Linked DNA regions of Ovis aries. The protein of the gene in region 1 interacts with the protein of each later gene in a pairwise test. Links are inferred from orthologs where the notes say so. Each region holds a gene or a part of one and is shown in the gene's direction. Other genes may lie near its edges.

Evidence for each region.
Region 2: the proteins of KLC3 (region 1) and CCNH interact in binary tests that used the Homo sapiens proteins (3 or more experiments, as listed by UniProt). The two-hybrid records come from large-scale screens. The link is inferred for Ovis aries from reciprocal best matches to the Homo sapiens genes KLC3 and CCNH.
Region 3: the proteins of KLC3 (region 1) and TSNAX interact in binary tests that used the Homo sapiens proteins (3 or more experiments, as listed by UniProt). The two-hybrid records come from large-scale screens. The link is inferred for Ovis aries from reciprocal best matches to the Homo sapiens genes KLC3 and TSNAX.
Region 4: the proteins of KLC3 (region 1) and CEP57L1 interact in binary tests that used the Homo sapiens proteins (3 or more experiments, as listed by UniProt). The two-hybrid records come from large-scale screens. The link is inferred for Ovis aries from reciprocal best matches to the Homo sapiens genes KLC3 and CEP57L1.
Region 5: the proteins of KLC3 (region 1) and BICDL2 interact in binary tests that used the Homo sapiens proteins (3 or more experiments, as listed by UniProt). The two-hybrid records come from large-scale screens. The link is inferred for Ovis aries from reciprocal best matches to the Homo sapiens genes KLC3 and BICDL2.

The regions. Positions count from the first base shown.
Region 1 is NC_056067.1:52,765,078-52,770,878, forward strand, and holds the end of KLC3 (kinesin light chain 3), read left to right. Parts: coding exon 1-54; intron 55-492; coding exon 493-712; intron 713-1,070; coding exon 1,071-1,158; intron 1,159-1,235; coding exon 1,236-1,337; intron 1,338-1,613; coding exon 1,614-1,787; intron 1,788-2,367; coding exon 2,368-2,458; intron 2,459-2,532; coding exon 2,533-2,573; intron 2,574-2,658; coding exon 2,659-2,765; intron 2,766-2,905; coding exon 2,906-2,969; intron 2,970-3,073; exon of another isoform or gene 3,074-3,219; coding exon 3,220-3,291; 3' UTR 3,292-3,444; downstream 3,445-5,801. Other genes in the region: ERCC2 (general transcription and DNA repair factor IIH helicase subunit XPD), read right to left, coding at 3,552-3,644, 4,033-4,176, 4,282-4,425, 4,518-4,588, 4,795-4,867, 4,965-5,057. UniProt on the Homo sapiens protein: Kinesin is a microtubule-associated force-producing protein that may play a role in organelle transport. Plays a role during spermiogenesis in the development of the sperm tail midpiece and in the normal function of spermatozoa.
Region 2 is NC_056058.1:84,677,346-84,684,152, reverse strand, and holds the start of CCNH (cyclin-H), read left to right. Parts: upstream 1-2,372; 5' UTR 2,373-2,482; coding exon 2,483-2,599; intron 2,600-4,838; coding exon 4,839-4,961; intron 4,962-6,807. UniProt on the Homo sapiens protein: Regulates CDK7, the catalytic subunit of the CDK-activating kinase (CAK) enzymatic complex. CAK activates the cyclin-associated kinases CDK1, CDK2, CDK4 and CDK6 by threonine phosphorylation.
Region 3 is NC_056078.1:3,727,985-3,734,270, forward strand, and holds part of TSNAX (translin-associated protein X), read left to right. Parts: intron 1-3,100; coding exon 3,101-3,228; intron 3,229-5,866; coding exon of another isoform or gene 5,867-5,899; exon of another isoform or gene 5,900-6,286.
Region 4 is NC_056061.1:28,292,300-28,298,585, reverse strand, and holds part of CEP57L1 (centrosomal protein CEP57L1), read left to right. Parts: intron 1-678; coding exon 679-795; intron 796-1,931; coding exon 1,932-2,009; intron 2,010-2,485; coding exon 2,486-2,572; intron 2,573-6,286. UniProt on the Homo sapiens protein: Centrosomal protein which may be required for microtubule attachment to centrosomes.
Region 5 is NC_056077.1:2,941,550-2,946,868, reverse strand, and holds the end of BICDL2 (BICD family-like cargo adapter 2), read left to right. Parts: coding exon of another isoform or gene 1-86; intron 87-334; coding exon 335-550; intron 551-780; coding exon 781-897; intron 898-1,006; coding exon 1,007-1,153; intron 1,154-2,006; coding exon 2,007-2,204; intron 2,205-2,322; coding exon 2,323-2,472; intron 2,473-2,915; coding exon 2,916-3,043; intron 3,044-3,201; coding exon 3,202-3,322; intron 3,323-3,407; coding exon 3,408-3,569; 3' UTR 3,570-3,902; downstream 3,903-5,319. Other genes in the region: THOC6 (THO complex subunit 6 homolog), read right to left, coding at 4,024-4,104, 4,184-4,318, 4,404-4,514, 4,614-4,676, 4,767-4,816, 4,901-5,003, 5,083-5,154, 5,278-5,319.

The DNA.
Region 1 (5,801 bases):
CTCGCCGGGACAGCCTGGCCTCCCTGTTCCCTAGTGAGGAGGAGGAGCGGAGAGGTGGGTGCGGCCTCAGCCATGGAGGATGGGAGGCCGAGGCTGGGGAGAGCGCATCTGAGTCGCTGGACCCCGAGGTCTCTGGGGAGGATGGGGCAGCTCAGGGCCAGGTGTCAGGAGGGTGAAGCAGGTGGCTGTGTGTGTGTGTCGGGGGAGGGGGGGGCGGGCAGTAACAGAGCAGGTGAGGCTGGAAAAGCTGGAAACCAGGCCTGTCATGGCGACCACAGCTCCAGGAACCAGGTGGCTCCCGCGCGTCCATCCCACAGGCCAGGCCCCCTCCTACGGGCCAGTGAGATGCCTGGGATTCCCATCTCGGGAACCAGTGCAGGGGCCTGCGGTCCCAGGGACCAGGGGTGGCTTTAGGGGGGCATGTGTCCCCTGGTGTGTGGGCTGGGGCAGTAGGAGGCCTGCAGTGACTCGGTGCCCCGCATGCACCCCCAGGTCCTGAGGCAGCGGGGGCCGCGGCAGCCCAGCAGGGTGGCTACGAGATCCCAGCCCGCCTCCGGACCCTGCACAACCTGGTGATCCAGTACGCGGGCCAGGGCCGCTACGAGGTGGCCGTGCCGCTGTGCCGCCAGGCCCTGGAGGACCTGGAGCGGAGCTCGGGCCACTGCCACCCCGACGTGGCCACCATGCTCAACATCCTGGCGCTGGTGTACCGGTGGGGGCCGCCGCCGAAGGGCAGAGGGAGGGACGTTGTTGGGCAGAAGTGGGGGGCCCTTGTGTCCTGCTCTACAGCACAGGGTACCTGCAGGGGTGGGGCGGAAGGGGACGGAGATCTGGGGAGACCACAGAGACCTGGGCAGAGAGTTGGCGTGGGCGAGACCCCCAACAGAGTAGGGCGGAGGCCTGGGGCGGCAGAGGCTTGGCACCCACCTGCGGGCATGCAGGGACCCTGTGCTAGATCTGGGAGGGGTGGGGACACCCAGAAGGGACCCCTGGGGGACGCCACCCATGCTCAGCCCAGCCCAGGGCCCCGGCCCCAGGCCTAACCGCCTCCCCCCGGGGCTGCTCCACAGAGACCAGAACAAGTACAAAGAGGCCACAGACCTGCTCCACGATGCCCTACAGATCCGGGAGCAGACACTGGGCCCCGAGCACCCTGCGGTGAGTGGGGGCCCGGGAGGGAGGGCGGGGGGCTGTGGGCTGGGCGCCCCTCCCCTGACCCCCTCCCAACCCCCCAGGTGGCCGCCACCCTCAACAACCTGGCTGTCCTCTACGGGAAGCGCGGGCGTTACCGAGAGGCAGAGCCCCTGTGCCAGCGTGCCCTGGAGATCCGGGAGAAGGTACTGCCCGGCCTGGCTCCCGTGGGGCCCTGCCCCACATGGCCCTTCCCTGGACTCTGTGGCTCTTGGGTGACCCTGATTTGTTTTTGTGACCCCAGACCTTTTGTGCCCTTCCCATGTGATATTGTGAACCTAGAACCAATTTGAACCTAGAGTTCCCAGTCCCCTGACTCACCACCCTTGACTCCAGCTACCAACTCATGAGCCTCGTCATGATGGCTGCTGGCAACACGTGGCCTGCCAACCCCAGATGACTTGTGAACCCATGACCCCTAGGTCCTGGGCGCCGACCACCCGGATGTGGCCAAGCAGCTCAACAACCTGGCCCTGCTCTGCCAGAACCAGGGCAAGTTCGAGGAGGTGGAGCGGCACTACGCCCGGGCCCTGAGCATTTACGAGGCCCTGGGCGGGCCCCATGACCCCAACGTGGCCAAGACCAAGAACAACTTGGTGAGGGCACCTGGGGGCGTGGCGGTCTCGGTCTTGAGGCCCCAGCACCGGGCGAGCACCCATCGCTTGATGGGGCCCCATCTCTACCCAGCCCTTGAGGGTGCCCCACGGGGCTGGGCTTCCACACCAGTGAGGCTCGCCAGCTCAGAGGATGTGGAAGGGTCGGGAAACTGGCAGGTTGGTGGGGGCCAGAGAACTGCTCCAGGCAGAGAGGCAGCCGGAGACACTGGCCGGGAGCAGAGAGCATTTGTTGAGCCAGGCCCCCTCCTCAGGACTTTCCCTGGACCATTTCAAGGGCCTTGTGAGGGAGGTGCTCCCACTGCTCCATTGTGCAGATGAGGAAACTGAGGCAGAGAGGGCTGTCGCCGGCCCAAGGTAGACTGGGGAGCAGGCCCCTGCTCAGAGCCAGCAGGGCACCTGCCCTGTGGGAAGCAGTGGACTCGAGCTCCAAGCCCACTCTGCGGGGCTGAGGGCCTGGAGTGCGGGATAAGGCCGGGCCGCTTCCTGGGGGGCCGGGAAGGAGGTGCCGGGTGCAGCGCTTAGATGAGCCAGGATCACCCAGGCCATGCCCTCCCCGCAGGCCTCAGCCTACCTGAAGCAGAACAAGTACCAGCAGGCGGAAGAGCTGTACAAAGAGATCCTCCGCAGGGAGGCCCTGCCCGCCCCGCTCGGTGAGCCCCCGGCCCCTCCCCTGCCCCGGGGGCTGCTCAGCGTTCCCCCCAACAATGTCCCCATCTGTCCCCAGGAGCCCCCAACACAGGCACCACTAGTGACGCACAGCAGCAGGTGAGGAGGGCTTTGTGCGGGCTCCCAGGGGAAGGGCGACCCGGGTGGCAGGGGAGGCTGACCGGCGTCCCGGCGCCCTCCCCAGACCCTTCGTCGGAGCAGCTCCTTCTCTAAGCTCCGGGAGTCCATCCGGCGTGGAAGCGAGAAGCTGGTCTCCCGGCTCCGAGGCGAGGGGGCGGCGGGGGCGAGCGGGTGAGTCTGCCCCTCTCCCCCTGTCCTGCTTGAGGACCGTGCTTGGCTCCCGCCTCCCCTGCGACACAAACTGTCAGGCCCGGTGCCCGAGTCTCCCAGGGTGGGAGCCAGACTCACTGCCACGCCCCATTCCTGGGCAGGATGAAGAGGGCCATGTCACTCAGCATGCTGAACACGGATGGCTCGAGGGCGCCCGAGAACCAGGTGAGGGGACCCCTGGGTCGGGTGGGACAGGCCCAGAGGCTGGGGGAAGACCTGTACAAAGAGCTGGCATTGGTCAGGCTGGCATTGGAATGGACCCCCACACATGAGCACGATGGGTTTTATTTGGGTAGATGCAGGGGGATGGAGGAGTTGGAGTTGGGTAGGGACAAGAAGATGGGCTGGCAGCATAGCCCCGCTGGGCAGGGGCAGCCCTGTGTCCTGCCCTCAGCCGCCCCGTGCCTGTCCCCAGTTCCCCAGGCAGCACCTGAGCGAGGCCTCGCGGACCCTCAGCACCAGCACCCAGGACCTGGGCCCCCGCTAGAGGCGACAGGACCACGTGGCTGCGGCTTCTCAGGAGGAACGGGAGGGGTGGGCAAGGGGAGGGAGTCCTCTCCTCTCCCTGATGGCTCCCCACGGCTCCAGCCTCCCTGAGCTCCACTCCTGAGATTAAAGGCTGTAGATCTGGCAGCTAGAAGGTCTTCCTGAGGTGTCCTGTGGGGACCTCCAGGCCCCTCCCGGAGGCCCCTCTGAGCACCGGGACCGAGGCCGGCTAAGACTCGGGTGTCACGGCCCCGCCTGGCGCTACAGCTGCTGGGCAATCTGCTCGATCCTCCGCAGAGTCTCCTCCGACTCCAGCTGCTCCAGGCTGAGCAGGGACAGGCCCAGCTGGTCCTCCTGGGAGTGAGGAGAAGGGGTGTCAGCTGGCCCACATCCCCCCACAGGGCTCAGTAGTGACAGGAGGCGCCACCCAGGGGCCCAGGACAGGATGCTTGAACTAGAAATGCCCAGTCAACTCGGGTCATCCCGTCCCTGTGAACGGAAGACGGGCCCAGGGAGGGAGGTGGCAGAGCGCCAGGTCTGAGCCAGGGAGGACTGGCCTTCCACAGCCCCCACGAGCAGCTCGGGGCACCCGCTGGGGACACACTGGCATCAGGAGCCCTCAGCTCTCCCCCAGCTGCCAGGCACGGGCTGGGGGGTGGCACGCACACAAACCTCCCTCTGGGGCAGGCTGGGGTTGGGGCTCAGGAAGAAAGCCCAGGGCTCTTCCCAGAAGAGGGCTCACCCGGTGGAAGGGCTGTGCCATCTGCCTCAGGAAGTACTTGGCGACCTGGACCCCCTCGTCGACGGTCAGGTTGAGGTTGGCGTCCGTGAGGTGCTCCTGGATCCACCGGGGCAGCTTCCCCCGCTTGTCAGCCCGAGCAAACCGCTGGTGGTGGTGGTGGTGAGGGTGTCAGGACCCTGGCGGGAGGGCCCAGGCACCCGCAGCCCGGCCCTCCCACTCTGGGTGGCGGGGGCCCCGAACCCACCGCACCTTGTCAGCGAAGACCATCAGGCCATAGTCCGTCTTGCCTCTGATGGCCCGACCCACACACTGGGCGGCGTGGCGCATGGCGTCAAAGGTGAGAAAGTCGTTTTCACGGATCTGGAACTGGTCCCGAAGGTATTCCAGCCGTGCCTGTGGGTGCAGAGATGGGGGCCAGGGCCATTTCTCACACGAGCCCCAGGGGAGGCCTTCATGTCCGTCCGCCTGTCCCCGGCGAGGCTCACCTTGAGAATGCGGCTCTGGGTGTAGACGTAGGGCACCCCGAACATGATGACGGCCCGCCCGTAGTGGTGCACTGCGGGGTGAGGGGGAGCGAGAGAGGGCTGACTGCGCGGAGCCCAGGTGCTCTTGCCGTCAGAGGGGGTCCCCAAGGGCCCTGCTGGGTGCCCAGGGATGGAGGGAAGGGGAGGCCCCTGTGTGTGCAAGATGGTGGGTGGGTGGGTGAGGTCCCCTCGGGGAACAGAAACGGCCACACGGGCAGGGAGGGCCAAGTCCACTCACCAAAGTCGATTCCCTCGGACACCTTGCCTCGGGCCACTGAGAGCAGGATGGCCCCGCGGCCGTTCTCACAGGCCTGGGGAGGGAAGGCCAGGACACAGACACGTCACCAGGGAGCTGTGCCGCCTCTGGCCCCTCTCCACCCAAACTCCCCTTGTCCCCCCAGTACCCACCTCCTGGTACTTCTCCAGGGCAACGCTGGTCTCAGCCCCATCCTGGGTCTCGATGAAGAGCAGCTTGTTCCTCTGGATGTTCTCCAGGATGCCCTTCAGGGAGGACAAGGGGAGGTCAGGATGTGGGCGGCGGACGGTGGGTTCAAGGACGGGGGTGTCCTGCTTAAACTCAGCTCTGCCACCGACTCCGGGGTGACAGGCCACCCTGTCCCCTGGCCTCAGCCTGCCCTCTGGGGACCAGGGGAGGGTGGTGGCAGGGTCCAGTCTCACTTCTTTGGAAAACCCTGTGATCCCCGGAGGGAACCAATCCCCATCTTCTGGACAAGTGGGGCAGGCAGGTGGCCCGGGTGACCCATCAGGATGCTCCACCCCCAGCTTGTGATTGGTGGGGAGGCTGATGTAGGCCAGGCAGAGCCAATCAGAGGCTGCCTTGAGTTCACATTTGACACTGAAATAGACTCGTGGTTCTGATCTAGGACAGATGTGTGACAGACCAGAGAGAGAACATGGAGGGTCCAGAGCAGCCCCCAACAGAGACCCGTCACCTGTGCCACTCAGTGCGGTGGGGGAGCTCGTTTCAGCAAGTGGGCCTGGAGCGACAGATTTCCAAATGGGGAAAAAGTGAACCTTGACTTACATCCTACACAAAGATGAACCTGCGGTACCTCACAGAGCTTAGATGTCAAAGTTAAGACTACAAAACTTCTAGATGGAAGCACAGGAGACCATCTCTGGGACCCTAGGGTAGACAGAGGTTTCTTAACTAGGACACAAAAGACACTGAGGACGTGGGGCGCAAGTGGCTGACACTGTGCGGAAAAAGCCTGAGGATGAGAC
Region 2 (6,807 bases), on another chromosome or scaffold:
TCTTTGAGACCCCATGGACTACAGCACGCCAGGCTTCCTGTCCATCACCAACTCCCGGAGCTAACTCAAACTCATGTGCATTGAGTCGGTGATGCCATCCAACCATCTCATCCTCTGTCGTCCCCTTCTCCTCCCACTTTCAATCTTTCCCAGCATCAGGATCTTTTCCAATGAGTCAGTTCTTCACATCAGGTGGCCAAAGTATTGGAGTTTCAGTTTCAGCATCAGCCCTTTCAGTGAATATTCAGGAATAATTTCCTTTAGGATTGACTGGTTTGATCTCCTTGCTGTCAAATGGACTAGCAGGAGTCTTCTCCAGCACCACAGTTCAAAAGCACTAATTCTTTGGTGCTCAGCTTTGTTTATAGTCCAACTCTCACATCCATACATGACTACTGGAAAAACCATAGCTTTGACTAGATGAACTTTTGTTGGCAAAGTAATATCTGCTTTTTAATATGCTGTCTAGGTTGGTCATAGCTTTTCTTCCAATGAGCAAGTGTCTTTTAATTTCATGGCTGCAGTTACCATCTGCAGTGATTTTGGAGCCCCCCCAAAATAAAGTCTCTCACTTTTTCCACTGTTTCCCCTATTTGACATGAAGTGATGGGACTGGATGCCATGATCTTAGTTTTCTGAATGTTGAGCTTTAAACCAACTTTTTCACTCTCCTGTTTGATTTTCATCAAGAGGGTCTTTAGTTCTTCTTTGCTTTCTGCCATAAGGATGGTGTCATCTGCATATCTGAGGTTATTGATATTTCTCCCAGCAATCTTGATTCTACCTTGTGCTTCATCTAGTCTGGCATTTTGCATGATGTACTCTGCATAGAAGTTAAATTAGCAGGGTGACAGTATACAGCCTTGACATACTCCTTTTCTAATTTAGAATCAGTCTGTTGTTCCATGTCTAGTTTTAACTGTTGCTTCTTGACCTGTATACAGATTTCTCAGGAAGCAGGTAAGGTGGTCTAGTATTCCATCTTAGTAAATTGCTGTAAAATTGTGTTGGAAGTGACCATATGATACTTTATATAATAATTCTATTCACTCTTGATTAATTAGTATAATAAAAGGATAAGGTAGTGACAGATTAGTCCCAATCATGATTGTAACAGAGGCCAACTCTGTTAATTTGTTTTGGGAAGAATTAACAGTAATTTTTTTTAAAGCCACAGGAATTACCTTTATGTTGATGACATACTCCTAGTTAGCAGAAAAGCTGCTAAGCCTTTTGGACTGAATGGTCCCTAGTTGGGGCTGAATGAACTATGGGTCTTCCATTGGTTTCAAGTCACTAAAGGGTAGTATCTACACTAGTAAGAGGTATCAGCACTCAGGAATAAGAGATATTACCTAGTTCCCTACTGGACCCTACTCAAAGTTATTATCATTGAGAAGGGACAGTATTTGTCCATGTCATAATCATTCTACTATACTCTAAGGACCCTGAGGTAGGACTGTGAAATAGCCATTTTTGTGTCCCCATTGCCATCATCACCACCACCTAACAATTAGTATCAAATCTTCAGTACAGTGATTTAATATGACATTTTGAATTGAACATGGATTTTTAGAATTTGCTCCACAATATATTGTCTTTACATCTTAATTTTCAATAGTCCTAAAATATAAAAGAAAAAGTGTTTGAATTTTGGGAGAGTTAAATTTAGATTGAGGATATTTTTTAAATGCTCTTTCTTCTTGTCCTTTAGTAGTATTCTGTTTTAGAGAAACTAGGTATTCACTGCAGGAAGAATAAGACAGGGACATATTTAGGGTCAGAATAGTAAAGAGCAATACCTACGCACTGCTTCTAGTTTTCCAACCATGTTCCTGTCTCTCTGAAGCCAAGAATTTGGTACCGCTCCAGAGATACTTTCTTAAAAGAACCAAGAATGCTTCTGCTTTGCGATCTTGGCTGTTCAATCTGATCTGCCCCCATGTCATACCCATGTAATTGTTAGCCCCACCCAACTCTTTCAAAACTTTGCTCAGAATGTCACCTTTTTACTGAGGCCTCCTCTGAACCATCCTATTTAAAAGTTGATACCCTCCCAAGTCCTTTCCTCACTTCTGATCGTCCCACGTTAAATTGTTCAGGTTAGCCTCCACAAGCCCTACATTTATTGATAGTTCCCTTTTGAACAGCCCTCCGCCTCGCTTCTCCTTTAAATCTTGTCGGGAAGGGGCGGAGCTAGGGCCCAGGCTCTCGGAAAGGAGGAGCGGCTTCTGTGGGTCACGCCCACTTAAGTCGCAGGCGCCGTCCGGAGCAGCCCGGAGCCATTCTCCTCCCAATCCGCTCCGGAAACGCGACTGGGGACGGAACTACCACGTGAGGTTGACGTCATCGCCCCCGCGCCGGGCTGTCCCGACTTGGGTTCCGCGGGATCCTGGAGGCGTCTTAGGTGCTTTACGTCAGGGTTTGTACAGTTCTCGGTCTTCTCTCCCGAGACTCGCTGGGCCTCGCCTCCGATTTCCCGATGTACCACAACAGTAGCCAGAAGAGGCACTGGACTTTCGCCAGCGAGGAGCAGCTGGCGCGGTTGCGGGCCGACGCCAACCGCAAATTCAAATGCAAAGCGGTGGCGAACGGGAAGGTGAGGGCTCGGGCTGCCGCCCTTCGGCCTCGGGCTCTGTAAACTCTTGCCTGTCCCCCCCTCCCCCAGGACTTACCCCACACCTCCCTCCCGCCTCCTCGGCGCCGAGTGCGTTTATCCATCTAATCAACAGCGAGCACCTTGCCAGGTACAGTGGGTAAGGAGACGGACAAGGCCGTCCATCCCCGCAGTCGAGCGGCGGACTGTATAGTCAGTAACAAGGCCAAGAAGACACTTTGTAGGATGCTAATGTACCGGGGGTAGGTTTCTCTTAGTGGCTGGTGTGGAGAAGATGGGGAAAGGACTTTCCCAGCGGACAGAGCCACAGGTGCAAAGGAGTTCAGAAATCGCAGAGCTGGTCTCTGGAACGCTCTCGATCGTGTGTGGCGGAAGCAGTGTTTGAAAGGCTGGAGAACGCAGGCAGGGAACTTGTAAGCGGAAGTAAGTAGTTTGAACTCTGTGATGGACAGATGGGAAAGCTTAGAAAGATTCTAAATGGGAAATTAATCTTGTCAGATTCTGTTCTAGAAAGAGCTTTCTGGGAAGGAATGGATTGATTGGATGGGGCAGGGCAGAGGAAGGGGGATGAGACACCGTTAGCACAAACCAATTGACCACAGAAGGTTTGGACTAGAGTCTGTCAGTCACGCCCTTCCAGCTTTACTTTTACCTGTAACGTTTACTTCATATCATTTTATTTTTTGTGCTGTACAGACTAGTACTTCGTTTGCTAAATTTTCAATATTTGGCAACTGTTAGCTCATATAACCCTCACAACTACCCCATGAGGTAGATACTGTTATTATCCTTGCATTACATCTGAGGACACTGAAGTACAGAGAGGTTGAATAACTTCTCAGGCTATATCGCTAGTAAGTGGCAGAGCCAGGATTTGAACCCATGGACTCTCGTTTCAGCTGTCCTCCTGTGAATCGCAATGCCATGCTGTCTCTATAAAATGAGCCTCACCTGTGGTAGTTTCCTAGGCCGGCCACAATGCCATACACTAGGTTACTTAACACAGCAGAGATTTATTGAGTTCTGGAGTCGAGAAGTGTGAGACCAAGGTGTTTGTGGAGTAGTGCTCTCTGCAACTTCGAGACCCTTTCCTCTTCAGCTTCTGGTAACCCCAGGTGTCTTTTCCACTTGTGGCAGCCAACTCCAGCCTCTACCTGCTTGTTCCAGAGTGTTCTCCCTGTGTCTCTTTATATGTTCTTCTTACAAAGCTACCAGTCATACTGGATTAGAAGCCACTTCTACTTCAGTAGGACCTCATCTTAACTAATTGTATCTGCAAAGACCTTATTTTCTCACATTCTGAGGTACTGGGGTTAGGACTCAACATACCTTTTTTTGGCAGTTGTAATTAAACCAGTAGTGGCACCAAATAGATATTTTTGTAGTAAAATTGTAGCATTTATTAACCCTACAGTGTATTTTGTAGAAATTTTGTAGAGATGCAGAAGAGGTAATATGTTAAGGGTCAGAATTATCCTTGAGACACTTGATTTTTACTTCAACCTCTGTGACTCAATAACTGAGAAAGGACTATTGAAAGTTCTCCAACCATTGATGGTTTCTTCCTTTTGATGTGTAAAAGTGACATCAAACTTGTGAATGTATACACACGCTCCCCACATTTGCTTATACCTTAGTGAAGCAAATATTCAGCTGACATTCTGAGAAGTTATGCAGTTGTGGCACAGTTTATAGTTTACTGACTATTTTTAAAACTTATTTTTGTGTAATATTAGACACAGGAGCCTAGTGGGCTGCAGTCCATGGGGTCCCTAAGAGTCGGACACAACTGAGCGACTTCACTTTCACTTTTCTCTTTCATGCATTGGAGAAGGAAGTGGCAACCCACTCCAGTGTTCTTGCCTGGAGAATCCTAGGGAAGGGGGAGCCTGGTGGGCTGCCATCTATGGGGTCGCAGAGTTGGACACGACTGAAGCTACCTCGCAGCAGCAGCAGCAATTCTATTGGAGAAGGAAATGGCAACCCACTTCAGTGTTCTTGCCTGGAGAATCCCAGGGACAGGGGAGCCTGGTTGGCTGCCGTCTGTGGGGTCGCCCAGAGTCGTTCAAGACTGAAGTGACTTAGCAGCAGCAGCAATTCTATTTTAAAAAAATGAGGTACATTTCCCTTTGGTTAGAGATAAAAGCTTAATTAAATCTGCGCAGAGAAATATTATCTAATTTATTAGATATTTATTTTTGTTCTAACTTTTGATCTAAAGGTTCTTCCAAATGACCCAGTCTTTCTTGAGCCTCATGAAGAAATAACGCTCTGCAAATATTATGAGAAAAGATTATTGGAATTCTGTTCCGTGTTTAAGCCAGCAATGCCAAGATCTGTTGTGGTAAGTTTTAGTAGTAATGAAGTATAAAGTCCTGTAGCTAACTTACAAGAGTTTATAAAGATTAATCTTACAAGGTAGCTTATAACCACTTATAAATATTTACCTCAATTCTCTATCCACTTTACTCAAAAATGCACCTTAGTTATATATATAATTTATGCATCAATATTTGTTTTGTCACATATTTTTCAACAAACTCATTAAATTATGAATTCTTACATTGTATCTTACACAATGTTTCAAAAATCATTTCATATCAAAAGAATTTTGAGGTCTGCTGGATATGTCATGACATTCTCATTTTATAGGGAAAGAAAAAAATTACTTTCCCTCTGGGTTCCCATGTCTTTGATTCGGATGTTTGTGTATGTGCTTGTGTATTTCTGTGTGTTTGTACTGTGATAGGGTATTGTTGAGGAAAAACAGGTGGTTAAAACTTTTTGGCTATATGGATTTGTATATGCTGTCTCTGTAATTGTTTCTATCCTCTTTCTTTTTTAATTGGAGTATATTTGATTACAGTGTTACGTTTCAGCAAAGTGATTTAGTTATACATATATCTTGGAGAAGGCAATGGCAACCCACCCCAGTACTCTTGCCTGGAAAATCCCAGGGACGGGGGAGCCTGGTAGGCTGCCATCTATGGGGTCACGAGGAGTCGGACACGACTGAGCGACTTCACTTTCACTTTTTACTTTCACACATCAAAGAAGGAAGTGGCAACCCACTCCAGTGTTCTTGCCTGGAGAATCCCAGGGACAGGGGAGCCTGGTGGACTGCCGTCTATGGGGTCGCACAGAGTCGGAGACGACTGAAGCGACTTAGCAGCAGCAGCAGCATACATATATCTATTCTTTTTCACATTCTTTTCCCATGTAGGTTATCACAGAGTATTAACTCAAGTTTCCTGTGTTATACAGTAGGTCCTTATTGTTTATCTACATACAGTAGTGTGTATACTTTAATCCTAACTTAGTTTATCCCTCATTCCCCACCTTTCCCCTCTCTTAATCAGAAGGTTGTTTTCTAAGTCTGTGAGTCTGTTTCTGTTTTGTAAATAAGTTCATTTGTGTAATTTTTTAGATTCCACGTAGAAGTGATATCATATGATATTTGTCTTTCTCTGACTTCACTTAGTATGTTAATCTTTAGGTCCATTCATGTTGCTATAAATGGAATATTTGGTTTTTGTTTAGTTGCTAAGTCATGTGCAACTCTTTTGTGACCATGTGGACTATAGTCCGCCAGGCTCCTCTGTCCATGGAATTTTCCAGGCAAGAATACTGGAGTGGGTTGCCATTTTCTTCTCCAGTGCCTCTTCCTGACCGAAGAAGTGACCCAACTCACTTCCCTGGTGGCTCAGACAGTAAAGCATCTGCCTACTATGTGGAAGACCCAGGTTCAATCCCTGGTTCAGGAAGATCTCCTGGAGAAGGAAATGGCAACCCACTCCAGTATTCTTGGCTGGAGGATCCCCTGGACAGAGAAGCCTGGTAGGCTACAGTCCATGGGGTCGCAAAGAGTCGGACACGACAGAGGCTTCACTTCACTTCACTTCTCTTATATCACTTATGTCTCTTATGCCTCCTGCATTGTCAGGCGGGTTCTTTACCACTGAGCCACCTGGCTATGGCTGAGTTATATTCCACTGTATATGTGTACCACATATTCTTTTTAAATTCCTCTGTTGATGGACATTTGGATTGCTCCCATATCTTAACTGTTGTAAATAGTGCTGCAGTGAACATTGGGGTGTATGTATCTTTGAAGTATGGTTTTCTCCAGATACGTGCCCAGGAGTGGGATTGTTTATCATATGGTAGCTCGGGTTTTAGTTTTTTAAGAG
Region 3 (6,286 bases), on another chromosome or scaffold:
ACACCGTTCCCGAAAGTCTCCAGGGAAGCAGAATCAATAGGACTCATGAGGTAGGGGGATGGGGCAGGTAGGTAGTAATTTATTTTAAGCGCTTGACTCTCATGATTTGGGGACTAGCAACTATGAAATTTGTAGAGCAGGCCAGCAGGCTGGAATTTTTTTAAAGAGTTGATGCTGCAGTCTTGAATCTGAAATCTGCGAGCTGGAAACTTAGGCAGCATTTCTCTACCATAGTTTTGGGCAGAATTACTTAGTTGGCAATCCTCATGCTTTGTTCTTAAGGTCTTCAGCTGGTTGGATGGGTGTTCCCTCCACCGCCACCCCTCACCATTTTGGAGGGTTATCTGCTTTACCCAGAGTCTTGATTTAAATGTTAATCACATCTTGAGAGTACTTTCACACCCACATTTAACAGGTGTTTGGCCTGAGCACCAGATGACCATAGTGTTACCGTGAGAGAGCAGAGAAGAGACTGGTTCAGTGTAAGTGATAACCTCTCTTCTGACTGATTTCCTCTGCCTTGAACTACACACTGGAATTTGTACCCTGTCTGTCAAATCAGCTTGAGATTATAGGTGTGTAGATAAAGTCATCCTTCGGCTTACACTGGCTTATACCCATTAAACTGAGATAACACTTGCTTGATGAAATCATTGAGCCTTAAGCATAAAGCCCCAAGGAAGCTTGCTTGCACCACCTTCAACTGATAGAATCTTACATGACAAGAACTTTGCTGCTTGTTATTTGCAGCATTTAAAATACTATTTTGTTCAACATGGCCCTGAAATGTAAGCCAGCTTTAGGAATTTGGGGGCAAGATTATGCCTAGAAATACTGAAGAAGTAGGAAAATTCAGAGAGTGTTACTCAAACTGTACTTTTGTTAAAGGATTTGTATGGATTTACATATCCATCTTTGAAATGTATAACTACATGAGTATAGTTATATGCTATATAAATGTATAACTACCTGCCCATAGCATGAGTTGATGTAAATGGGGGTTGAAATTAAGCAGGTGCTTATCAACCATGTTAATGATTTTCCTCTGTATTCTAAGAGCCATGGAAAGCTATTTAGGCTTTAAGCAGGGTGGTGATGTGGTCATTATTATTAAACTGGTATTAATTATAGTTACTAAATAGGCAAAAAAGAGACTATTTACAAGACTATTAAAAAGTCTGTGGTGTGAGAATGGATGAGAAAGGGGGAAAAATAGATGACGGTAAGGCCAGGATCCTCTTAGAATTGGCAAAACAAAGATGGCTAGGTTTAGAAGGAATATTGTGAATTCATTGTTGATTATGTTGATTTTTGAAGTCCCTCTGATGGGATTGTCAAATATGCGTTTGGATGTATGTGGTTCTAAACCAGAGATGTAAAGTTGGGAGATGGCAGCATTAATTGAAGCCGAGTATAGGTAATTTGTTGGAGAAGGAAATGGCAACCCTCTCTAGTGTTCTTGCCTGGAGAATCCCAGGGACGGCAGAGCCTGGTGGGCTGCTGTCTGTGGGGTCACATAGAGACAGACACGACTGAAGTGACTTAGCATAGGTAATTTGAGAGCCTAGGACTGGCAGAGACTAAGAAGACATGGCTAGAGAGGTAGAAAAAAGGGGAACTAGGAAAAGATGCCGTAGAAGGGGCCAACGGGAAGCTTGTTTAAGCGAGGGGAAAAGTGGTCAAAGTGCTGAGTGCTGCTACATAATTAAGACTGAAAAAGTGCCCATTAGATTCATTGACTGGCGTAATTTTAAGTTAGAGCTGTTTTGGCCTAGAGATGTGCTCAAGCTGGGATGAAGTAGGCTGAGAAGTGTGAGATGTGGTTATTAAGAAGCTACTTTAAGAAATTTAACTGTGGAGGGGAGTAGAGATATCGGGCAACAGTTGGGAGGAAAGATATGGCCTGTGGATGGGAGAGATCTGAGTGAGTGTAAATGTTGACGGCATCCAGTAAAGAACATCAAGTGGAAAACCTCAAATAAGGAAGGAAGCATCTGTGTTAAGGGTCCTGCTAGGACTGCATCTTGATCCTGAGGACAGGCACCTTGGCTGGCCTGTCACGATGGAACACCTGTCTATAGGAGTACTAGGGGTGAAGGAGATAGAGTACCAGTATTTATTTTTCTTAAGTTCCTATTGTAGTCATCAGTGTCCAAACAGGAAACAGAAAGTGCATTGTTGTTCAGTCGCTAAGTTGTGTCCGACTTTTATTTCTGAACTTATTTTCCTCTTCCTATTTTTTACAATAAAGCCTTCAAAAAGAAGACCAAGTTTCTTAAACTGACAGTAATGATAATAATTTTAAGAAACACTTTTTCCCCTGTATTACCTTATAGATGAAGACATAATAAAATAATGCTGAAAAGTATGGGTATAGAATTTGGTTGTTTTAAAACACTTGAAAAAGTATAGCAGTATTTTTGACCTTTACTGACCTCTAATTCAGAGTGGACTCTGTAGGATTTACATCCGATGCAACTGGTATTATTACTCATTAGCTTTAAAAAAAAAAATTCAACTACTGAAGCAGAAAGGATTTAATTTGAAGTATGAGGAAAATGTTATTTTGAATTTTGACACTTTAACCTTCATTATTTACAGTGTTTTGGGTTTTTGACCTAGGAACATTTTAAGGAAGAGCCAAATTATCTTTTAATTTTATCTCATATGATTGTCTATTTTTGCTGCTTAAGGGAACAAAAACTAACCTGTATAAATTCTGTTAAAACCTACCAGAATTTTGGTAATAGCCCTTTCTTAAATTCTTTAGAAAAAGTATTTTTCTTGAAATCTTTGCCATTTCTCTATAGGAGAGGATAGATTTTTAAGACTAATGGACTCATGAAATACAAGGAAGACTCTGAACACATTTCTGTGTGAGCCATCTTAAGTTCAGTCACAGGAATGTTTGCTGTGTGCAGTGCCAGTCCCCACCAGCTATCCCCAGGTGGTGTGTTCTCAGAGTCGAATCTAGGGCTGATGGAATAGATAACCGTCAAGCTTTTGTTGAGCTAGATGATGATTAGTTTGAAGTTCATTACTGTGACATTCTTACTAATTTAGTGGTTGTTCCTGAGTAATTTTCCTGTTGGTTTTTCAGGACTGCAGGAATATGTGGAGGCTGTCTCTTTTCAACACTTCATCAAAACACGATCACTTATCAGTATGGATGAAATTAATAAACAGTTGATTTTTTCAACAGAAGACAATGGGAAAGAAAATAAGACTGTAAGAATTTAAAATCATATTTCACATTTATTACATAGTTTACACAGCAGCGTGATGATTGTAGGAGATTCATTGGCTTATAATGCAAAGAATATTGAGATGAAAATGTTCTTTCTAAAGTGTGATTTCATAGATTCCCAACTAGGGAAATGGTCTTTCTAAATGCATTAGTTAGTGGCTCAGCACCTGTGGGTAGGTGGGGGGAGCAGCACCCGTTTATGTGAGCATTGTGGAGCGGCCCTTGTGTAAGCCCACTCTTAGTTTCCTGTGTATCTGCCAGTGCCCTGTATAAATACTGTCTCATTCAATCCTTTTATTAAACTTACGAGGTAAGAATTACTACCCTCATTTCACATACGGCTTTTGCAGAGTCCAAGTGACTTTTCAAGCCCTAGTCACGCACGTGTGCAGCTGACTTGGGAGCCAGGTGTCCTGAACCCAAAGCCAGGAGCGCCCTCGCCACTCTCCCAGTGTTTCTCGCCATGGGCCACGGGGCCCTGTGCCAGGCATCTACCTCAAAGGGGTGTTTTAAAGGATTTGAGTTAGAGACTTTAAATTAGGTAGCATACAGTACATGCCACATAGGTGCTCAGTAGTTAGCAGTCATTATAAGGGCCAATGTAATATGATACAGTGAGAGATGTTGATTTAATCACTGAGTTCATAATGCTTGTATCTGAAATAGTGTAATTCAACTTTTAAACAAGTACTGTTTTTTTCCCCTGAGTTTCAAGATATAATATTCAGGCCATGAGATAAAATTTTGAGTATTAGATAGTCTCCTAAGATATTAATACACTTAAAGGTACAGTTAAACAGTTTTTTTTCTTTTCTTTATTTTTCACCAGTTTCTCTTTCATTATTATTTTAAAAAATCAGGTAGGCAGAAAGTGGAAGAAGGTATGGAAATCATATTTTCTTGAATGTTAATAAAATATTAATACTAAAAAGTGAGATAAGTTGGCATGACAGGTGTAGCTTACGTCAAGGAAACCATATATTTTCTCAATTTTAAAAATTAAGTGAATTTTATTGAGGAAATTCATCTTGAGAAGTAAAATTCTTTCATATTTTTAGTTCATTTAGTAAAGATTGAATTACAGAAAGAAGTAAGGGGCGCCTATGTGACCCTGCTTCTTAAATATATTAGGCAAATTATGATACTTTCCTTTCGATTCTCTGTAATTCAGAATGGAAGTATCAAGGGCAAGAAAGTAAAGAGAAATGGGAGTAAATGCTCTGTTCTGAGGATTTATGTAGTAAATTATTCTAAGATTAGGATGTCATAATCATACACGTGTCTTCTCAAAATGTTAAGACCACATTCATAAATAATATTTCCTTTCAGTGCTAGAGATTCATCTTGGTGCTAAAAATTCTGGAAATCCAATAAGGGAAGGTATTTTGCTCTGACTTGCATATTGAGAGTAGTGTCAAACCATTTAATTCTTTAAAACTTATTCGGAAAAATTCAAATGCACAAGAAAAGTGGAGAGAATAGTAATACATGATCTGGAGTCAATAATTGTTAATATTTTGTCTTATTTGCTTCATCTAAATGTTTTTTGCTCAATTAGTTTAAGATATAGGTATCCTGATAGTTTTCCCCTAAATACTTCAAGTCCATTGTGAAAAATTGCATTTTAAGTAATTTTATTTTCCCTGGTTTCTAATATATATTATCAGTAAAGCAGAATTTATTTCCTTGACAGTTTGTTGATTTTTTTAACATGCTTTTTTCTTCAAAGTAACTTTGTAGTTATATTCAGGGAACTCCTTCTAATGATGGAAACAAAGAGCAGTAATGTTTTCTTAAGCAAAAATTATTTGTATAAATGACTTATAAATACACCAGCCACTTCCCCACCCCCCCACCACTCCCACCATAATCTATTCTTTCCAAAAAGATGTCAGTTCTCTTAACAGTTAATAGAAATGAAATATAGCAGGTCAGGCTAATTGGGGAGCTGACTTTGGATACTTACCAAGTTCTAACCATTAACTAGTGATACTACCTGCAGTGTTTCTGGGACCTCATTTCTCATATTCCATATTGAGAAGATTGGAACATATGGTCTCTGAAAAGTCCAACAGTGTTAGGAGTCATGTCCTGGATACAAAGCCACCAGATCATCTATAAGACCTAAGTTTGACTCTGTCATTTGCTCACTTAATTCTCAATGTCTCTATTACCTGTAGGTAAAGTTCCAGTTTCTTACTGTGGCTTTCTCCCCTTGCTCTATCCCTTGTTCTGGCTTTCTAGACTCATCCCATACTACTTCTTACTTGAAATTTTACTCTAAAGAAATACCGCACTAGTTCCTCAAGTACACAGCACAATTCTCATCTGCATTCTGTTGCAGTTCCTTCTGCCTGAAATGTCCTTCAGTGTAATTGCAGCCCACCTAAGTCTCATCAGACTTTCAATAACAGTTCAGACATCTCCTCTTTCAGAAAGAACCCGTTAGAGAGAAGTTGATGTGGAGAGAGGAGATTGGTGTGGTGACGGTAATGGTGATAGCAGCTAACATTTATTGAGTATTTACTTTGTGTTGGGCACTATGCCAAGAACTTGGTAAATGTTATCTCATCCTTAAAAATAAACCTCTGAGGTAGGTACTGTTATCCCATTTTACAGATGAGGAAACTGAGGTTTAGAGAGATGAAATAACTTGCCCAAGGGCATACACCTTATGAAGCAAGGTCCTGGAAGAGGTGGGAGGAGATGGGTCAAGGTCATTTGGAAGAGTTAACCTCAAACAAGAGGAGGGACAACTCATCATCTGAGACTGAAGGATAGAAGGTAAAGATGGATGTGGACATAAATAAGTTTTTTTGTTTTGTTTCGTTTTGTTTTTAGGGATAAGGTAATTAAGAGAGCTTATGGCAGGGGATCTGGCAAATAACCAAGCCAGTGAAAGGAGGCAAGATTGTTTACTGAGAGTGAAGAGGTTTGGGATTGAGTAAGGGGCTGAGGAGAAAAGTAGTGAAGGTTTGAAATAGTGTCCAAAGAGACGGGCGAGAGCCATCTACGAAATAAGTGAAAGGATTGGTGAGT
Region 4 (6,286 bases), on another chromosome or scaffold:
TATAAAAACTTTTATTTTCTATTTCATTGACTTTCCACTTCATCTTTATTATTTCCTTCCTTCTACTAATGTAGGATTTAATTTGCTATTTTTTCCCTATCTTTGGATGTTGGAAACTTAGATTATTGATTTTAGAACTTTATTATTTCTTTTTAAATGTGATCTATTGTGATTAAAAACTATCAATTTCCCTCTAAACTGTGCTTTACCTGCATCCCACAGGTTTTGCCACTTTATATTTTCATTCTTTCAACTAAAAATATTTTTTAAGTTCCCTATTCCCTAATTTTCTCCAAGTTCTCTGTATGCTTTAGTCCTTTGATAGCTGCTTTTCTATGTTATAGTTAGAGGGTGAGTCAATAAGTAGGTTTGATCACCCTGTAATAACACCTTGTTTATTTAATATGTTTCACTGATGATTTTTTCCATAGTAGAAAAGTTATATAAAGATACATAGAAGATTTTGTTCCATTGATCTGATATCTTTTTTTGCACAGTTTGTTTTTGAAAAGTATTTTCTCTTGTTTTTTTTTGCATTTAAAGCACCTAAAGTATGTGCATGTTTTTTATGTGTTTCTTACGACAATTTGTGTTGTGCTTTGAATTCTCAGAAATTGTATTATTCTTGAGCAGTCGGCTTCACTTGCCAAATTTAGGTTTTGTTTTTTTCCTTTCCAGGCCCAGCTTCAAAGGGAAAAAGAACAGGATCATATGAAGCTTCATGCAAAACTTGAAAAGCTTGATGTCTTAGAAAAAGAATGTTTTAAACTTACAACAACTCAGAAAACTGCTGAGGTAAGCTTCAACTTATTTCTTTGAAGTGGTGATACCAGGAATAAATCTTCAGTGTTCAGTGTAATTACCCTGCATATGAATATACAATAAAATTAGATTTGTAAAACTTCATTAATAGCTTTTAGTAATCCAGATATGACTTATTGCCTATAGATCACAGCATAAATGAGTTTGCTTTTTGATGTGAAATTGTAGTTTTACCTTCTTCTGCAGTGGTAGAATATTTTCATTTGTTAGGTGATTTACCTAAAGGATATTGAAAAGGTAGCCTTTCACCACTTGCAAGTAAGTTATGCCTATTCTAGATCCTATCCTGAAATGCCCTCTCCTTTTCCAAGTGAATCCCATCCATTTTGTAGGATTCTCCCATTCCTGCTTCCTCTATGAAGCCTTCCTTGAGATTTTGAACACTCAGGAAGTTCTCCCTTTGAGATAGTACTGTCTTCCTATTCCAAACTATACCATGGATATAAGATGAAATACATTTGTGTATAACGTTATACATATATATTCATGACCTGGGATCAAATCGTATTGTTTCATGTATATTAGTCTTGTTTCCCCTGTGGCTTAGATGGTAAAGAGTCTGCCTGCAGTGCAATCCCTGAGTCAGGAAGATCCCCTGGAGAAGGAAATGACAACCCACTCTGGTATTCTTACCTGGAAAATCCCATGGACAGGGGAGCGTGGCAGGCTACAGTCCATGAGGTTGCAAAGAGTCAGACATGACTGAGCGATTTCACTTTCACTGTTCCCTAAGTACAGCATAGTCTTTTATTGTAAGTTGTCTATATTTTAAATGAAACATTGAGACCCAGGACTATATAGTTTGACCTTCTAGACCTTTAAAACCTCCCAAATTTTCAGTATTATGATTTTGTTAATTAAAATTAATAGAGCCTATGCATGTAAATTCTTTACTTCTCCTTTGTCCTTCTTACATAAAGTAGGTAAAGAATCATACAAAGAAAGCTAAGGAAAACTTAGCATCTTTTGCCATTCCTTTTTCTTACTTTCTGCTTTAATTTACCAAACTATTAAGAATCAAGACGCTGAGGGCTCTATTTGGAAAAGGAATAAAAGATATTTAGCTCTAGTTTTTGTAAAATAATCCCAGTTTTTCAATTCTTTTGTAGGACAAGATTAAACATTTAGAGGAAAAACTAAAGGAAGAAGAACATCAGCGTAAACTCTTTCAAGATAAAGCTTCTCAGGTAAACAGAAAACTGTATTATCTGGCACTTTAAAATCACATATGTTTTATTATACTTTATTAACTGAAACCTTACCCTGGACTCTAATTTCTGCTTCCTAACTTATCAGTTTTGTCTTTTTTTGCTATAATAATGAAATTTCAGTAAGTCAGCAAGTATATTCATAGACTCGGATGTATTGCCAAAGATCTTTTGGTCTTCTGAAATTCTGAGAAACATACATATATTCTCAGTTGAAAGAACTCATGCTATCAATTGTTTTCAGTTTGAGATATATAAAATAACTCATTCTGTTATAAACAGAAAATGATTGTAATTACCAGTAGACTTGGTGACTTTAACACAAAAAAAATAATATTTGGGATTTTCTTCTTCAAAAAACATTTTTATATCAATCTCATTATAATGTTTTTGAAGAAAAAGAAATTTGTTAAAAGTCAAGTAATAGTAAAGGTTTTTTTTTTTCACTATTATAGCTTCAAACTGGACTTGAAATCAGTAGAATTTTAATGTCTTCAGTAACAAATCCAAGGCACTTCAAGGAAAAGAAGAAATCTTCAAAGGTATGCAAATACTTTATTCTTATTTGCTAGTGCTTATTTCTTCATCCTTTTAGTAATTATACCTGTGCATTTTAAAAAAAGAATTTGAAAATATTTATAATATAAGACATGAAATAATTCTATGAAATGGACCTAAAAACATAAGTCAAGTAATGATGGTTTGGGGTATGAGGACAGAAAATTCCATAAAACCTAGGTTGAAGAAAGTAGCAGCATTTGAGCACAAAACCTAGCTCTGAGTTTGCTTGACACCCAAAGCAAAAAGAGACATATAATGGGCAATACATCTAAATTTGTGAAATAACAATAAGCATTCTAATTTTTCTAGAAAGGTAAACATATTGCTAGTACTAAATGTTAAAGAAATGTATTTTGGATACTTTTTAAAAGAAGCACTAAACAATACAATAGATACAACACAATAGATTCTGGAAGCAGTTTTATATAATACATGCACAATAAAAAGACAAGATATACTATTAAATTATATTGTATTATAAATTATAATATTAAATTATAATTATAGTCATTTCTCTAGAGAAATTATTTACTTTTTTATGCTAATATCCTTAGGACTTGCCTAAAGATTGGGGAATGAGTGCTTTATAGCTTTACCAATAATAATTTTCTTGATAAATTGATGTTTTGAATTTATTATATTAAACTTTTTTATTTATAATGGTAAAGAAAATGTTAGTCCCTTTTAATCTTATGATTCTGAAATTATAGTTTTGATGACCATTATTACTATTTATTCAATATGCATGTAGTGTTTCTGTGTGCTATTTGCTGTACAAACCGAGCATGCTATTTGTGAGTTCTGGCCACTGCCATAGGTTCACCCTGTGGATACAATAATGGAGGAAACAGTATACTTAACTTTAGCTAGTTGTTTATTCCATAAATAAGAATTCAGGGGAAAAAAAAGAGAATTCAGTAGTTTGGCTGCATTTTTCACAGATTAGTTTCTTTCAAAGAATTTGCAAACTATAGTAATGAAGACTATTTTCCCAATGCCGTTTATATTGATTTTTTTAGTTTATTTCCTTCCTTAAGTATGTTTTGTGTCTTATCTCCACAGTAAGATTAGAAGCTGCAAAGCCAAATAGAGAATCACTATAAGTAATTTATACAAGTGGAAAAATACTGACTTATTTTTGTAGTTATGTTTTATGACATCCTTTGAAGATCTGGTGGAAAAGATTTTTTTAATAAGGTACAGGGAAAAACAAGGTAAAAGAAATGAAGGAAAGAAAAGGTAGCTCCTGGAAGAAAAGAAAAAATAATTGACAGCAAAACCACTTTATAAAAGCAGTTAGCTTAAGTTCCAAGTTCATAGATCTGTAAGTAATAATGCCTCCTTTTAAAGGTAACAGGAGCACTGTTGCTAAAGGTAGTATCTGAGTTTTTTTAAGAGACCTCTGTGAGATTCCTGCTTGTCTCACTGACACTTACTCCATATCCTGGACATAGTTCATTCAACTCATATGTCTTGATTTACATAGATTAGTACCTTTAGGTATTAAAAAGATAACACAGGAATTTACAGAGAAGCAGACAAAAATACAAATATAAGACAGAGTGTGCTAAAAACCTAATAAAACTATAAACAAAGTATTCTGGTGCTGTACACATAAAAAATATGTGAAAAGATCACACAAGAAGTAGTAAAGGCAGACTTGGAAAATGAGTAAGTATTGATAGAGATGAGGCGAGGTGTGTTATAGTCTGAGAGTATAGTTAATTTTTACATGAAACTGTAAATAATTGTCTAGTACTAGTACCATATGAGACCTGAAAATATAGCCTGAAGTGAGATTATGACTGATCTTCAGTGCCATGTTAAGAATTTGAACTTTTGTTCTATAAATCATTGCAAACCATTGAAGGCTTATAGAGACATGATTAGAGCTATACTTCTAGACAGTTACCAACAACAGCATAAGGTGAGCTTGGAAGTAAAGAATCAGACTGTTTGAATATTGTAAGCAAGATAATGGAAGCCTGTCCTGTGAGGTTTTCATTATTCTTTTGAAAGGATAGATTGTAATTATCAGTCAGAAATCTCATTCAGTATAACAACTAAAAAAAATTACATTTCTTTTGTTCTAATTTAACTGCTTAAAATAGACTTTGATCAGACCATCATTTTCTATTACTTGAAATTATCACTCCTAAGGTACAGAGCTTGAATGATTGTCCAGGATCACCAGGAAAATCTGAGTGAATAAGTACTGACTCACAAATGTGTGATATCTCTACCTCTAAGCCATTTAATTTTTTTAATTTAAAAAAATTAATGTTTATGATAGTTAAGATACCTAAATTTTCCTTTAAAATTGGGAATATTTTGTTTTCTTTTTATTATGGAATATGCTCAGCTTATTGATTATTCTCTTGCTAAAGTGTTAAATAGAGTGACCAAGTCACTCCAGTTTGCCTATGACTGTACTGGTTTTAGTACTGAAGATCCTGTATCATGGGCAGATTGAGACAATTGGTCACCCTAGTTCAATCCATCCGACAAAAATAGTGAAATCATTTACTTTTAAGAATGTAGCTTCAGTTCAGTTCAGTTCAGTCGATCAGTCATGTCCGACTCTTTGCGACCTTAGCAGTGTCTTTTTAAAAATGATTCACGAAGGAGTACATATTGATTTGGCCAAAGAGTTCGTTTGGGTTTTTCCATAAAATGTTACTGAAAAACCTGAAGAAACTTCTTGGCCAACCTAATATAATAAAAAATGTCTGCTCAAAGGATAATAATGACATTAACACTGGTACTCACCACACAGCTCAAGAAATAGAACATTACCAGCACTGTTAAGGCCCAGTGTGTACCTTTCTTAAATTGTATTCCCTCCATCCAAGGAGTAACCACAATTCTGATTTTGTTTTTATCATTCTCCTGGTTTTTAAAAAAAATTACTTTGCCAAATAAGCATTTATAAGAAATATATTTGTTAGGTTTACACTTGAACTTTATATAAATGGGCTTACTGTATTTGTGTTCTTCAGCAGCTGTCTTTTTCCACTCAACATTAAGTTTATGAGATTCTTCCAACTGATGCATATATGAATGGTTCACTGCTTTTTATTGCTAAAAATTTCTTTTTCCCTTCTCCTTTCAGTGATCATTTGGTTTGTTTCTCACTTTTTGTTATTATAAACAACACTGTTATGAACATTCTTGTACATGCCTCATGGTATAAGTGTTCAGGAGTTTCTCTGAGATACTGGGCCATAAGTGTCATGCACCTTAGCTTTATAAGATATTGTTCAAAGTGACTGGACCAGTTTATGTTCCAATCAGCAGTTACCATTGTTCCATATCCTAACCATGTGTCTTTTTTTGTTTGTTTTTTGTTTTTCACTTTTTATTTTGAAAAATTGTAGAGGTGATTTAAAAAAAATATAAAGGGAGGTACAGTGTATCTTTCGGAGAAGGCAATGGCAACCCACTCCAGTACTCTTGCCTGGAAAATCCCATGGACGGAGGAGCCTGGTGGGCTACAGTCCATGGGGTCACTACAAGTCGGACACAACTGAGCGACTTCACTTTCACTTTTATGCATCAGAGAAGGAAATGGCAACCCACTCTTGTGTTCTTGCCTGGAGAATCCCAGGGGCGGCAGAGCCTGGTCGGCTGCTATCCGTGGGATCTCATAGAGTCAGACATGACTGAAGAGACTTAGCAGCAGCAGCAGCAGCAGC
Region 5 (5,319 bases), on another chromosome or scaffold:
TGGGCCGGGGCTTCAATTCTGCCAGACTCAGGCGCCAAAAACGGCGCCTGCAACCTCAGGCCCAGAAACCCCGGAGGCAGGCAGAGGTGAGTGGGCACCGGGGAGCCTCGCCCAGCTCAGGCCCAGGGTCAGCCCCTCCAGAAGCCGCTCTAAGGCTCCTCTGCCTCCTCTACTGTCCAAGGCTGCGTCTTGCCCCCCTGCCTGCTCCCCCCCAGCTCTGTCCTGTTTCTGGCTCTCAGGCCTGCCTCGGACCCCCTCGGCCCCCCCCAGGTCTCTGCCTGTTGCTCTGCATTCCCTCCAGTCTCACTGTCCCGTCTCTGTCTCTGCCCCACAGCAGCTGCAGCAGCAGAACCATGAACTGCGCCGGGGCCTGGCAGCCCGGGGAGCCGAGTGGGAGGCCAGGGCAGTGGAGCTGGAGAGGGACGTGGAGGCCCTTAGGGCTCAGCTTGGGGAGCAGCGTTCCGAGCAGCAGGACAGTGGCCGGGAGCGGGCTCGGGCCCTCAGCGAACTCGGCGAACAGAACCTCCGGCTCAGCCAGCAGCTGGCCCAGGTGGGACGACCCTGACCCTGGGTCCCTTGGCAAGGAGGGGGCGTACGCCCTGTCCTGGTGGGGGTGGGCGCGCTGGGCCGAGTCCTGGTGGCGGTGGTTGCGCTGGCCCAGGCTGGATGGCCCTGACCCTGGGTCTCCCAGCAAGGAGGGGTGGACGTCTGGGGATGGGAGTGCTGGGCCTGTTGCAGTGTGGGCCAGCTGAGGACTCTGATCCCCAACCCCATTCCCAGGCCTCACAGACTGAGCAGGAGCTTCAGCGGGAACTGGACAGCCTTCAAGGGCAGTGCCAGGCTCAGGCCCTGGCTGGGGCAGAGCTGAGGACGCGGCTGGAGAGTCTGCAGGGGGAGGTGAGTGCCAGTTGGGGCCGGGGGTCTGTTAAGTGGGGAAGGCTGGTGTGGGGGCTGTGTAGGCCCCCACAAGGAGGGCAAGGCTGGGCCCTGATGTGCTTTTCCCCAGAATCAGATGCTCCAGAGTCGCCGGCAGGACCTGGAAGCCCAGATTCGAGGTCTGCGTGAGGAGCTGGAGAAGGGACGGGGCAGGCTGCAGGCCACCCATGAGGAGCTGCTGCTGCTGCGGCGGGAGAGGCGGGAGCACGGTCTGGAGGTGACTGGCAGGGCTGGGGTGGGTGGGCGCGTCAGGCTGAGGGCCTGGATCACTGCCTCGGGGCCTCCTGGGAGAAGACCCCAGAGCTGGGTCACTGGGAGCCCTAGCAGCCAGGCCAGAAGGGCAAAGGCATTAGCACAAGGGCAAGTGGGAGCCACAGAGAGACTGAGTCGGGCTGGTGGTTCTAGGATGCATCAGAGACCAGCAACTGGAGGCCAGGGATGGGGCCGAGGCGAGAGCTCACCATCGGAGGTGATGGGGACCTGGACCAGGTCTGGGTGTGAAAACAGAGGAAAGAAAATGGAAGGAGGCAGTATGCCTTGATGTTTGAGATCTTAGGAGCTTGCGCTTGCTTTGAGGTCAGATTACTGGGTTTCTTATCCCAGGGTCCCTCCCTACTATTGTGGGACACCAGCCTCAGTTTCCCCATCTGTGAGATGGGTGGTAATGCTGCATGGCTGCGGGAAGGGTGTGAGACGTTCAGCAGGTCGCCTGGCTGAGAAGAGAGGATCAGTCAGGGCCGAGTGACAACTTTAGTAAGAAGGTGGGCCTGCCGGGTCAGGGACGGGGCGGGGCTTTTCCAGTGATCGGATGGGGCGGGACTGGAGGGTGACTGGAGACTTTGAAATCTGGGTGCTCGTCGGGGCCCTGCTCTGTAGGTGAGGCAAGTGGCATCTGCCGAGGGGTACTGCGGGTCCCACGGCCGCCCCGCGCTGTGGGAGCGAGAGCCAACTTCGGCGCTGGGCGGGGCGGACGCGCGCGGATGCCTGACTCCTGCGGCGCGCTGGCGCCCCCTGTCGGCCGGCGGTGGGGGCATCCGTCTGACGCTCACTGTTTCGCTCTGCTGCCACAGCTGGAACGCGCGAGGTCCGAGACGGAGGAGGCGCTGAGCGCGCTGCGGAGGCTGCAGCAGCGTGTCTCGGAGCTGGAGGAGGAGTCGCGCCTCCAGGACGCCGACCTCTCGGGAGCCTCGCTGCAGTTAGAGCTCGCCCACAGCCTAGACAGCGACCAGGACCAAAACCAGAACACGGACAGAAGCGGAGGTGCTCTGGTGAGCTCTCGGCCCACCAGGCTCCACACTCACCATCCCGGAGGGCTGCAGACTCCGCCCCTCCTTTTTTATCCCTAGAAGGTTTGACACTGCCCTGATCGATTTCTTTGGTGGACAGACCACTCTATCCCCGGAGACCCAAGAAGCATCCAGCCAGCAGTGTTCGCCCCAAGAGGAGAGGTTGGAGCCTCCCAGGAAGGGAGCATCCCTGAGCCCAGAGGAGATATTGGGAGAAGAGGAGGAGGAAGTGGTCCGGTTACAGGTTGAGGTGAGGGAAGCATAGTATTGGATGCAAAGCTCCTCTCAATGTCAGTTTCTCTTTCCCATCTATACTGCCAAGGCTTTGCCCACGAATCCCTCTCTACTTGGATACCCCTTCACAAACTTGCCATCAAGTTTCAACAGCCAGCCTGTATGTCACCTCCAGGAAGACTTCCTGAACTACACTCCCCCTTAAGTCCCATCTCCTCCATGCATCCTTCCTGCAGGCTTAGACCATCCATCTAACCCCGACCCACCCCACCCCGCTAGGCACTCAGAAGATTCATCTCCAGCACAGGACCATTAGCTGTCAGGGTTGTTTGTGGAGCAGGTGGAGATGGGAGGTGGGAGGTGCGCGAAGGCAGCGAATGAGTCTAGACTGCCTGGAAGAGCAAGCGCTGGGACACCCAGGGGCCTAACTGCCTCTTCTGGACTTTGCCCTGCCCGCAGATGGCACTGCAGCAGGCAGAGCTACAGTCCCTGCGGGAGGAACTGCAAAGGCAGAAGGCACTGCGGGTGCAGGACCCCGAGGAGGCCTTAAGCAGCGCCCTCTCAGACCGAGACGAGGCCATGAACAAGTAAGCATCTGCAACCATTCACCACCGCCCCGGGGGCCCTCTGACTTCCCTGGTTTCGTATTAGTGGTCTGACTCCCGCCTGGGTCCAGGAGCCCCCATCACCCCTGCACGCTGAAGCCCCAGCGTCCTCGGACCTGCTCTTTGCCCCTCGCCTGCAGGGTCCTGGAACTGTCCCTGGAGCTCAGCCGCGTTTCTCTGGAGCGGGACTCCCTCTCCCGGGAGCTGCTTCGCACCATCCGCCAGAAGGTGGCGCTGACGCAAGAGCTGGAGGCCTGGCAGGTGAGGGGCGGGGCGCACGGGGCCGACGGGGAGGAGCCGGTGGGGCGGGGCCGAACGCTGACCCGCCCCGCCGGCCCGCCCACAGGACGACATGCAGGTGGTCATCGGCCAGCAGCTGCGCTCGCAACGCCAGCAAGAGCTGAGTGCTGCCGCCTCCGCCCCGCGCCCCGCCCCAACGCGCTTCTCCCTGCGCCTGAGCCCCGGGCCCGCCGGCGGCTTCTTCAGCACCCTCTTCCGAAGGACCTGAGCGCCGGGAACAGGCAGGGCTGGCTTTGCCCTCTTGGCTCACTTTTCTTTTCTGGCCAACAGAGCGATGTGTCCCGACTGTCTGCCAAAGGCGGCTGGTGCCCTCCCCTCCCTTGGAGGCTGGGCAAGGGCTCACTGGGAGCAGGGGCCAGCTTTGGGGTCCAGAGACCCCAGACGGGTGGCAGGGGCATGTGTGGCAGAGCTGTTTATCAAATCTATATAAATCTATCTTTTCTAGGCATTAAGCCCCCTGGCCCTCAGCTGTGGGTCGGGGATGGGGGTGGGTATTTATGTATCAACATCAGACAGAGTAATATATAAATCATTACACTGACTTGGCCTCCATTCTTGGTAAGAAAGCACATTAAAAAAAAACAAAACACTAATTTTATTTGTATAAAAAAAGAAGAAAACACTGTGAACTCCTCAGATGGAGGTGGAGACACTGTTGGAGGTCAGAAGGACAGAGAGAAAGCTCGGTAGCCCAGATTAGTGAAGACATCCACCCTGCAGCTGTTGCCTGCTGCTGTCAGGACCTAGAAACAAGAGGGGAGTGACTGACCTGCCCCAACGCCCTGGCCTCCCAGGGTCCCCACCACCCCTGGCCGGACCCACCTTGCACTCAGGGGCTGCTGGTTGCTGGTTGAGGCTGAGGCTTAGCAGTCCCGGGGAGGAGCCAGGCACTTGGGCCTTGAGCTCCCCACTCAGCTGCCACTGGTTGACACAGCGGCCCTGTCCAGCTGATAGAATCTGTGGAAGACAGGGAGGGAGCTCAGAGTTCAGGCCTGGAGGGGGAGCGCGGCAGGGACAGCAGAAACAAGACAGAGGGCCTCACCAGGTCCTGGTAGAAGGTGACGTGCTTCTGTGGCGCCCGCATGGGGAAGACGGTGGTGGGTGTGGAGGATCGGAGGTGCCAGAGGGTGAGTGCTGGGCCTCCTCCGCAGACCTGGGCAGGAAGTTGGGGGTCCCAAGTTACCGTGAGCCATGGGCCCTCAGCCAGACAGGGCCCGAGCTGCCACCCCAGCCTGCACGCTGCCTGGCTCACCATCCAGTCCGAGTCAGTTGCCAAACATCCGATCCAGCGCCCATTGTGGGGCCTCGAGCACTCCTGGGAGGGGGGAGAACAGAGCGGAAGGTGAAGACACCGGGGATGCCCAGGAAGGAAGGAGGGAGGACAGAACGTGGGGTGTGCCCTCACCTCGTGCTTATAGACCTCGACTGTCTGGACCTCCTTGGCTGTGCGCAGGTCTGCAGAGGAAGAACCTCGAGAGGTATCCTCCTCGCCTCAGGCTCCCTCACCACCAGCCTTCCCTCCGATGTGACACTCCTTACCCCAAAGCCGCACGGCCCCATCCTCGCCGCCCGACAGCACCTCAGGGCTCCGCTCCCGCAGTGCCAAGCAGTGGATGTAGTCCGTGTGGCCCCGGAGGGCCCACTGCAGGGAGAGAGGTAGTGTCAGGACAAGACCCGGGAGGAATGCCGTTGCCCCTGCTCCCCTGGCCCTGCTCTCTCACCATGAAGGTCCCTGTCTCAAGGTCCATTGCATGCAGCTGACAGTCTCCCCCCGCCAGGATGAGCAAATTCTCCTGCAGAGGAAGGTGGGATGGAGTCAGAAGTCAGGGTCAAGTCAGGCCACGGAGAGGGGAAGGATCAAAATCTGGGCCAAAAACAGGACAGGGAAGAGCCCTGAATTTACGAAGGGCTCGAACCTTGGGCACGAGAAGCAGAGCATTGATCTCAGGTACTTCCAG